3 linked regions of the Daphnia pulex genome follow. The protein of the gene in region 1 interacts with the protein of each later gene in a pairwise test. Links are inferred from orthologs where the notes say so. Each region holds a gene or a part of one and is shown in the gene's direction. Other genes may lie near its edges. The genes, in order: neogenin-like, triple functional domain protein-like and E3 ubiquitin-protein ligase TRIM9-like.

Region 1 (3,057 bases):
AGAACGTCGTCGTCGAACCGGCCAGCTCTTCGGTATGAAATTATTTTTTAATTTTTTTAAATTCCGGCTCAAATTTGTAATTGAATTGTGTTTTTAATTCATTCAAAATCAGAGCGTCATTGTCCGCTGGGAGCCGCCGTCGTTGGAGAATCAGAACGGCATCATCACCGGCTACAAGATCCGTTACAAGCCCAAAACTGGGCGTGGACGTTTGCCTTTGAATCCCGGCTCGTCCAACGCCGGGTCGACGGCCACGACGGACGGCAGCCGACGGCTTTACACGCTGACTGGACTCGTGCGCGGGACCGAGTATCAAGTTCGTGTCTCTGCCCTAACTGTCAACGGTTCCGGTCCCATGACTGAATGGATGACGGCCGAAACTTTCGAAAACGACCTGGACGAGAGCCAAGTGCCGGAGCCGCCCAGCTCATTGAGAGGTAAGAATAAATAACTCGGGTCGGGCCGATAAATTCATCAAACAGATTTCGGATGATTAAAACGTGACAATTTTCGGTTGACCTCCATCCAGCTCGACCGATGACGAATTCGATTAGCGTTTCGTGGAATCCGCCCAGCAACCAGAACGTCATGGTCCGCGGTTACACGATCGGCTGGGGCAAGGGCATTCCGGACGTTTATTCGAAACTGGTGGACGGCAAGCAGCGGGCGTTCGTCATTGAGAAACTGGAAGCCAATTCAGAGTACGTCATCAGTTTGAGGGCTTACAATCAAATGGGAGACGGGCGGCCCATCTACGAGACGGTGCGGACGCGCGAGGAATCAACCCCCGAGCCGCCCAGTCCCCTCATTCCGCCCGTCGGATTGAAAGCCATTGTGTTGTCGTCGACCACCGTCGTCCTCTACTGGACGGATACCACCTTGCCTCGCAGTCAGGTATACTACTTTAAAATTGCAATGGCCATTGCCAAACAACTTTGAATGTTTTAAGGACGAAACTTTCATTTTCATTTCTGGTGTAATGTCGAAAGGGAAAGGAAAAATTGCGGTTTTACTTTTTTCCCCCAAAAAATTGTAACCGAAAATTTCTCTTTGCTGTTTTTTTCAGACTGTCGCCGACTCGCGGTACTACGTCGTGAGGTACACTTCGAGCCACACGTCGAGCAATCCGCGCTACCGTTACATGAACTCGACAGTGCTCAATTGCATGCTGGACGATTTGAAACCCAACACTCAATTCGAATTCGCCGTTAAAGTCATCAAGGTAAAAAACATTTGTTTAAATTATTTTGAGAAAAGTGTTTATTTAATTTATTTTTTTAAAATCTCAAATAGAATCGTAGAGAAAGTCCCTGGAGTTTGGTGGTTCCAAACACAACATTCGAAGCGGCTCCTTCGTCGCCGCCACGCGATCTGACGGTCGTTCCGGTCGAGGAGAATCCGTCGGCCATTAACTTGAACTGGCAGCCGCCCAAGCAACCCAACGGTCAAATTACCGGTAAGAATCGGAGGAGGCTAATTCTTTTTTGTTATTAAATGATACGAATGAATGAATCTTGTTCTCCAGGTTACGTCATCTTCTACACGACAGACAGCTCGCAGCGTGATCGAGACTGGGTGGTTGAAGGTGTCGTCGGGGATAAGATGACCACGACCATCAAAGGCCTGACACCAGATACCGCATACTTCATCAAAATCCAGGCCAGAAATAACAAAGGATACGGCCCTTTCTCCAGCATTATTCAATTCCGCACCAATCCAAGTACGTCATTGCTCATTTCTTTTTTTAAATCGTTTTGATTGTTTTATTATTTGATTTTGCTTGTTGATGCATTTCATTGTTATTTTTCCCCTTAGTAGTCTTTATCAATTGATTCATTATCGTTTGGCATGATCCGAGTATTTGTTTTATTCAACCTTTTTTTTCTCGTTTTGTTTATTTTACCGTCCTTCCCTGTGGTCTTAAAATTTAGGCAACGGTATGACTTATCACGACGCTACTCCGGTTAGCAGAGGTAAATTCCTTTAGCAGCATGATTCCTGCATTCATTATTATTTGATTTGAAAGTCATTTTTTTTTTTTTAGTTTATAGAAATCTTTTAATCCATCCGGAATTTTCTTAATTTTTCATTTTCTTTTCTCCGTCCCTTTTCAACTCAACAGATAGTCGAGGCATATCCAGTATGACCTTGTACATCATCCTGGGTATCGCTACTGGTATCATAGTCATCCTCCTCATTGTCGTGCTGGTGGTTGTCTTCCGCCGCAGAGATTCCGGAGTGACCAACTCTCCGGATCGTTCCAAGAAAGGCTACGTCAAAGGCAACGTCAAAGGCGGTAATAAAACTGGCCAGAATTCTTTTGACTTTGATTGTGTCAAATTATCGTTATCATTACTAACAATTTAAATTTTTTCCAGGTCCAGGCAAACTGGGCAAGGCTGACAACCCACCCGACCTTTGGATCCATCACGACCAGATGGAGATGAAAGGATTAGACAAATCCCTGCACCGTTCCGGCTCCGTCAACACGGTCTCACCTCTCAACATGCGCCGATCTCAAGACCTGGACTCCCTGGACGGCATGGCCTCCGGATCAACTGCCGGTCGTGGCCCCAGCACGGCAGCCAACGACTCGCTCGATCGCCGGGCTGCTTACGTGACAGCTTATGCAGGTATGTCGGGGAGACATGGCCATCAGTCGATGACGTTTTGGTCTTTTTCTTTCTGCATTTCCGTCAACTTTGTTCACATTAGATGAAATCTGCTTTCCATTTGATTTTGGCCTTATTACTTTTTTTTTTGGTTTCGTTTATTTGAATTATTTTTAATTTTTGATCTAATTTGTGCATGGCTTTGCTCGGTTCTGTTGAAACTCTGCAATTATTTGATTTTTCTGTTTGGTTTTTAATTTTTTTTTTATTTATTTATCATTTTGCATTTTTTTTTCTTTTTAACCTCTGCATTAAAAAAAATCAACTGAAATCCCCTTGATGACCCGCACTCGCTTTCCTACTACCCCGCCCGCCCATCCCACACACAAACAAACACACAAAATAAACAAAAAACCCTACGCAGGAAGTAGCAACTCACTCAGGC
Region 2 (3,656 bases), on another chromosome or scaffold:
GATGATGATGATTTGTCCTTTGCAGCGTCTTCCTGCAAGCCATTGAAAAGTGCGGCGAGAACGTGGGCGAGTTGGGGCCTTTGTTCAAGCGCTCCGAGCGCAAGCTGCACATGTACATCGTCTATTGTCAAAACAAAGCCAAATCCGAGTACATTGTCTCCGAGTACATCGATACCTACTTTGAAGTGAGTCTGCCTTCCTTCCCGTTTAACACCTTCCTCATTTCCTAATCCCGACACCGTCAAGTCGCCAAAAAAACAACTTTGGTTTTTCCAGTTATTGATTTTTCTTTTTTCATCATTCCCGGTTTTTTTTTCTTTGATTTTATTTTTTCGCTTGGCATATCTCTCTCTAGGAGCTGAGACAGCGACTCGGCCACCGTCTGACTATCTGTGATCTCCTCATCAAACCCGTTCAAAGGATTACCAAGTATGGCGTCTTCCTGACCCCGCAGAGTTATTTTTCTCCCATCTTTTTGTCTCTTCTTGTTTGTGCCGTTTTTCTTCAAAGGAACCTTTTTTTCTTTCTTTTTATCTTCTTCTTTCTTCTCCGAGTAGAAGAAGATAAGACAAAAAGAAAACGGGCATAGTGGTGAAGTGCCGTGTTTGGGAGGAGAGGGGGGGAATAAGTTTTGTGCCAGGTGCAATTCATCAATCCGTTTGTTTGTCCGTCGTTTTTTTCTTTTATCTTTTTTAGGTACCAGCTGCTGCTGAGAGACTTGGTTCGCTACACTGAGAAAGGGCTAGACATTCTCGCCCGGCGGAGTAGTGACGACGATGTGAGCGCTAACGCCGCCACCGCCAACACGGACCACCTGCGCAGCTCGCTACAGGACGAGGTGGACACGCTGTCGCGGGCTCTCCACATCATGACCATCGTGCCCAAAATGGCCAACGACATGATGATGGTCGGCAGACTCCAGGGTTTTGACGTAAGAATTTTTTGTTTAGTGGGGAGGTATTTTCAGTTGGGAACGTGCCCAGCACAGCGGGATCATTCATCTCTTTTGTTTTGTTTGTTCTTTTTATGTCTTGGCTCTTTTTTTTCCCCCCCGCTCGTCCGTTCATCCATCCATCCGTCGTCTTGTCTTTTCGGCTGACATGGCTCGTCTCAACGGCGACAATACGCGGACCAAAACAGGGGAAAATAACCGCCCAGGGCAAATTGCTACTCCACGGCCAGCTTTACTGCTGCACGGAGCTGAGCAAAGTGCCGTCCAAAGAGTTCAAGGAGCTCCAAGTCTTTCTCTTCGAGCAGGCCATCATTTTCAGCGAAATTGTCGGCAAACGCACGCAGTTTATCCAGCCCGTCTTCATTTACAAAGCTCACATTCAGGTACTTATATTGGGATTCTCGCTGGATCCAGACGTCAGACTGACTAGTGAATTATTGATTCTATCTTCCTTGTTTTGTTTGTTTCTGTTTTGACAGATGAACAAAATGTCGCTGGATGAGAAATTCGAAGTGGGAGAGGCCGGAGAGCCGCTCAAGTTTTTAGTCAAATCAACAGATCCGAGACACACGAGCACCGGCGGCAGCGGATCGGGCGCATCATCCAGTGGTGCTCATTGCGCCTTCGTCTGTTACGCACCCAATCCCGAAGCCACCAACGAGTGGGTGGAAACCATTAAACAGATCCTCCAGTCGCAACGCGATTTCCTCAAAGCCATCCAGTCACCCATCAAGTACCAGAATGAGCAGCAGAGATTGAGCGGAGCTGGTGGTGCCTCCGGAAGTCTGGCCAGCCAGCATTTGTAAGTGTTCGCCTGCAGTGATGATGAAACGCCATCTCTCGCAAAATACCAAAATACCAAAAAAACAAACAAACACAAAAACACAAAAAAAAAAAAATCACGCGTACATATGAAATATTATAATTGCCCAAAATACTTTCACACACTCCAACAACCAACGCAAAAACAAACAAACAATCCTGCTGTTGCTCTCTCATTAACCTCAAATAGTTCCTCGCCGTGTGTCCAATCCCACACACACACACAGAACGCAATCCTCGTTTTCAAGTGAAGAGATGAGAAGAAGAAGTTGATTGAAATTAACATCCGCTATTTGCCACCACCACCATCCACAACCATCCAACACACACCACCAACCAACACATTAAAAAAAAAAAACTTTGCTCGGCTGTTGTAGCGGGATTCTACTTACATAATTATTATACCACCTTAGAACCAACTCCCTCGGGGCTGGGAGTAATTCTTCCCGTTAATTTCTTTCTTTCTTGCTCTCTTTCTCTCTATCTTTCGAATAACGTTTTTCTCTTCTAAATTGGGACGGATGGATTTTCTTTTTGTTGTTTTCTGTATTTACCCAACACCCCTCTCCTAACTGTCTTTCCATCTCTCCTGGTGTAGGAATTAAGTAGCAGCAGCTTTGCTCCTAATTCCTCAATTTGTTTGTCCATCAAGAGTAGACGGGGGGTAAAAAGAGTCGAAATTAGCCGCCATTAGCCACTCTAGGGGGGGAGCATAACAATTCCGGCACACACATTCTTTATTCTAAATCTTCTCTCTCTCGCTGCGAGAAAATGTTTTTCATTTTTTATTTTTCCCCCAAGAAGGAAGGAAAAATCGATTTCTATTACGTGTGTGCGTGTGTGCGTGTTGAGTGTTGAGTGTGTTTGAATGTTTAACTACCACCACCACCCAAAACAGAATTTTCTTTATCTCGTTGAAAACAAGGCTCCGGACGAATGAATGATTGCGTCACGTTGTCATTTGAAAATGGGGAAAACAAAAATCAAGTAATGTCAATAGAAGAGCATCTTTTTAAAAATTCAATTGATTCTGATCATGATTGGCGAGAACAGACAAAGAAAAAAAGCTAACGGTGGAAAATTAGTTTTCTTCTTATTTTTTCTTCCTTTCTCTTCTGACAAGCAGAAAGAATTATTCTATTCGTCTCCTTTTTCCCTCCTCGAAAACTAAAAAAACAAACAAAACAAAACACTGTAACAAGTAGACATTTCCCTCTCTTCGGTGTATTGTGTGTATATATCGTATAATTTTGAATATTATATCGAACGAATCATTTTTTTTTCTTTCATTTTCTCTTCGTCCCTTATAAAAAAAAACGAGATTTATTCTTTTTTTCTGCTCCCTCCCACAATTTTCATCCATTGTTTCCAAAATTTAACAAAATTTCCCTTTTCCTATATACTCCTAACCGGTATCTTTGACTGGATTAGTAAAAAAAAAAAAATTAACATGGTGGTTCTCTTTATTGTATACACAAACAATTTCATATTATACCTAATAAGCAAAGGAAGAAGAAAAAAAAAGAAACAACTTGATTGAAAAAAAAAGTTGAAAGAAAAGTTTTTTTTTCTTCTTTTATTTCTTGTAATTTTGGAGAGCGAAAAAAAAATTTACTTTCGATGCACAATGTATCACACTGTATAATAGTATTTTGATTCGGCTTGGTTCTTATTGATCATGTGGGTCCTTCTCTCCTCCTCCCTCATTCCCGTAATTCCCTTTCTCTTTGTTCCGCGTCTCCTATTTTTTAATTACCTTATAATGGGGGAAGTCAAAAAGGAAAGAAGAAGAGGAGATGAAAAAAAAAAGATTAAAAGAGACTTGAGACTCTCTGAAATGTTTTTTTTTCCTTTGTTCATTATACTACTTCTCTTTCTCTAC
Region 3 (3,765 bases), on another chromosome or scaffold:
GCGCAGATCGGGTCGATGTTAGTCAACCGCGTCTCCAATTTGGACTTGACTTGGCGACAGGAAATGGACGAATTGACCAACCGGGCCAGCCCGACCCTCGAGCTGACGCTAGATGACTTGGGTCTCCGGCGCAACATTGATCAGCTGACTTTCCTAGAAATGAAACGTAATATTTATTAGTCGGCTAGACTCGATATATATGTGCAGCACTACGTAGTATATTTTTCAAGACGATAAGTTTATGGAATGTAATAATATCTTCCTGCTGTAGCTAAGACTAAGGGCTAAGGGCTATAGGGAGGGATTCATTGTCTTAACATCTACTATATGTACAGCCCCCACTGGTCGGGTCGATCCGACTTCCAAAAGTTAATGACAAACTTCCCGCTTGGCTGCCGCGCGCGGGGAGTTGGAGGTCCCGATGATTAATGAAGATCCCGCACGCAACAGTTTCAACCAGACTGTAGACTTGTACATACATAAAGTCTCCTCTCTCTATCCCCTCTAAAAAACTCTCTAGTTGCAAGCGCCACAAGTCCATGCCGGCGATTCTTTTCGTCAAATGAAGACGGATACTCTTTAACTCGCGCGGGGCAAGAAGACAGAGAGAAGTAACCGGGCCGTTTCTTATTGATGTCAAGCTATATCGGCCTAGATGAAGAGAAATCGCAAACTCTATTAGATTGTCTTTCTCTCTCCTTCTACTTCTTCTTCTTTGTGGGAGGGTAGTGGGAATTGTCACAGGGCAGAGCCGGAGTTACCATGGGAGCCGACGAGAGTCACACCAAACACACACACTCTTTCCAATTGGAATCAACTGTATAAAACACAAAACTTTGTGTCTGAGAGAGAAACGGTTCAAAAGTCATTCGTCCTTGGAAGCGGTCAGTCGCGCGGCGGCCAGCACGGGCGGCACGGGTGGCACGGGCGTACGCAATCGAATTACGGGCAACTACTTGACATGCGAGTCGGGCACGCAGAGGCGCATTCTGATTGACTGGAAACAGTTGCACCGTAATAAACGATCAAACGCCAAGACAAGACAAGACAAGAAAAAGGATAGCTCAGACCAAGTTGGAATGGATAGAGAGATAAGACAAAATCGCATTACGGGTGCGGTCAGACTAAGAGCAGATGACGAGGGTTCAATACCGAGTAATTGAATTTGAATAATAATAATTTCGTTGCGCTTATTATCTTTTCACAGCTCCCGGAGCGCCGAGAATCCTGGCCGAGGATTGCAGCGCGGAAAACAATTCAATCACAGTAGCCTGGCAACCGCATCCGGCCTCTTTCGTCGAGGGTTTCGTCCTCGAATTGGACGACGGCGTAGGCGTCGCCACCGGCCGCTTCCGCGTAAGTCACACACACACACAAACACACGAAAATCAAATAAAAATGAGAAAAATAACGATCACCGCCAGCGCCAATATAATTAACAAATTCTCACGCGATATTTTTCGTTGCAGGAGGTTTACTGCGGCAAAGAGACCATCTGCACAGTGGACGGCCTGCATTTCAATTCTCTTTACAACGCCCGCGTGAAAGCCTTCAACAGTAGCGGGGAAGGGCCCTACAGCGATCCTCTCGGACTTCACACCGCTGAAGGTGAAAAACGGAACAAAACCCCCAAAAGAAATTTTGATTTTTCTTTTCTCCTAACGACGCCCATTTATTTTTCACAGTGGCTTGGTTCACATTCGACATGACGGCCTATCCGGCCGAAACTCGCCTTTCGGCCGACGGACTGACGGCCACGACCGATAGCTACGAGCCCCGCGTTCTCCTCAGCTCGGTCGGTTTCTCCCGTGGCGTTCACTACTGGGAATTTACAGTCGACCGGTACGACGGAGCGGCCGATCCGGCCTTCGGCGTCGCCCGCCGAGACGTCACCAGAGACTCTATGCTCGGTATTAAAGGATTATTATTAAAATGTCGACGAGCAATCATGCGAATAATTCCTTGCTGTTGTTGTGTATAGGTAAAGACGAATTAGGTTGGTCCATGTACATCGACCACCAACGCTCCTGGTTCCTGCACAATAACGTGCACAGTCACAGAACCGACGGCGGAATCGACGTCGGTTCCACAGTTGGCGTCCTGCTCGACCTCGACCGGCGTCAATTGAGTTTCTTCGTCAACGAAGAGCCTCAGGTATAACGCGAAAACAAAAAAACATGAATCAGATTAAAATTTCAAATCCGACCCGAGAGAGTTGTACGACCATTGATTATTCAATTTGCATTTTTTTTTCTCTTATTTTCGTGTCTGTCTGTCTGTCTGGGCTTCATTTCGGCGGTGGGGGGATCGGTCGATACGCACACAACAGGGAACGGTGGCATTCGTCGACCTCTGCGGCGTTTTCTACCCGGCCGTCTCGCTCAATCGCAACGTTCAAGTCACGCTCCATTCGGCCTTGGATCCTCCGCCCTCGTCGTCTTCTTTTCCAGACAGCGGCGAAGAAAGTGACGAGGGCCATCAAATCGGCGCCGGTGGCGACGTCTTAGGATCGGAGCGAATGAACGGCGCCACCAATAACCCGTCAGACTCCATCACCTCACTCACATGCGCCGTGGCGGCCCTCTAGAAGAGATATAGGCGCTCCTCCTTCACTTTCTTATACAATATACTATATCCTATCAAAGAAGTACCCAATCATACCAAAACTAATTTCAACTCTCTCAGACTCCTTTTGTACAGTCATTAATAATCCTGTTGTATCAGTGTCGGAGAGAAAAAACGACCTCAGACGAATGGCATCGAGTGTCCCATTTCTAATCTTTTTTCTATTTTCTGTAATTGGAATATTTATATATATATACCTTGCTATTTTAAAAAGGCCAGATGAATCCTGGCCGCTTTTTTTCAAAAATCTGTTTGTGTGTGTGTGTGTGTGTACTACATAAATCTGGGCCAAAAAAAAAGGAAAAAAAAAAACAAGAAAATGGTGTAATGTAATAACGTATGTTTGTCACTCTTCTCTATCTCTTTCTCGCCCTCTTCTGAAACTGATGGTGCATCATCCGGAAGCGATGACATGAATCTCTCTCATCTTGTTTTTTTTTCTGTTATCTGGTACGAAAATAATGGCACAACATGTCGATAACTCTTTTTTTGTTGTTTCCTTCTTGCTTTTTCTTTCGCATGAAAGAGGGGGCGGCGTCAACGAAAAGAACAAGCACGAAACAAAACCAAATAAAAAAAAGAACTCGCCCTTCTTTTGATTCCTTTAACCAAGTCGAGTGCGCTGTCAGGACAACAACGTCCGGGAATATAATATTTGTGTCCCGTTTTTCCTGTTTTTCTTTCTTCCTACCTTTAATCATTTATTCGGGCAAACACACACACACAAAGAGGGTACTATATATATGTGTATGTGTATATATACGGAATAAGAGGGGTGAGTGGGGGACAGGAGAGACAAGGAGAACGAGGGGAGCTTGGAAGTTATTGATTGGTGGGTCCCTTCGACGCCGACCAGCTCCTCCTCGAGGGCAAAACCAGGATTTCTCGATCCTACCGGTCGTATCTCTAACTTGATAAAGCTTCGTGATGACGACTACAGAAAACGGAACGACAACCAATAGGATACTGGGGGGATAAATTCTGATTCTTCACTTTTGTTGACGAACGAAAGAAACCTGTTGCCCGTATCATATCGATGAATTCCTAAATCGTTTCTGGTTGGGAGACCGTCTGGATTTGACAGGTCTCGGAAAAGGTTAAGTACGATCGAGTTCAGCTCTATTCAACTACATGGATGTA

The links.
Region 2: the proteins of neogenin-like (region 1) and triple functional domain protein-like interact in a two-hybrid assay, tested with the Caenorhabditis elegans proteins (2 studies listed by BioGRID). The link is inferred for Daphnia pulex from reciprocal best matches to the Caenorhabditis elegans genes unc-40 and unc-73.
Region 3: the proteins of neogenin-like (region 1) and E3 ubiquitin-protein ligase TRIM9-like interact in a two-hybrid assay, tested with the Caenorhabditis elegans proteins (2 studies listed by BioGRID). The link is inferred for Daphnia pulex from reciprocal best matches to the Caenorhabditis elegans genes unc-40 and madd-2.

What each region holds. Positions count from the first base shown.
Region 1 is NC_060026.1:12,669,789-12,672,845, reverse strand, and holds part of neogenin-like, read left to right. Parts: coding exon 1-32; intron 33-112; coding exon 113-437; intron 438-529; coding exon 530-894; intron 895-1,066; coding exon 1,067-1,222; intron 1,223-1,293; coding exon 1,294-1,456; intron 1,457-1,525; coding exon 1,526-1,720; intron 1,721-1,931; coding exon 1,932-1,973; intron 1,974-2,122; coding exon 2,123-2,296; intron 2,297-2,378; coding exon 2,379-2,633; intron 2,634-3,036; coding exon 3,037-3,057.
Region 2 is NC_060021.1:7,042,165-7,045,820, forward strand, and holds part of triple functional domain protein-like, read left to right. Parts: intron 1-25; coding exon 26-185; intron 186-355; coding exon 356-429; intron 430-696; coding exon 697-931; intron 932-1,140; coding exon 1,141-1,335; intron 1,336-1,431; coding exon 1,432-1,754; intron 1,755-3,656.
Region 3 is NC_060021.1:7,813,300-7,817,064, reverse strand, and holds the end of E3 ubiquitin-protein ligase TRIM9-like, read left to right. Parts: intron 1-6; coding exon 7-166; intron 167-1,207; coding exon 1,208-1,356; intron 1,357-1,469; coding exon 1,470-1,608; intron 1,609-1,685; coding exon 1,686-1,910; intron 1,911-1,981; coding exon 1,982-2,154; intron 2,155-2,329; coding exon 2,330-2,587; 3' UTR 2,588-3,209; downstream 3,210-3,765.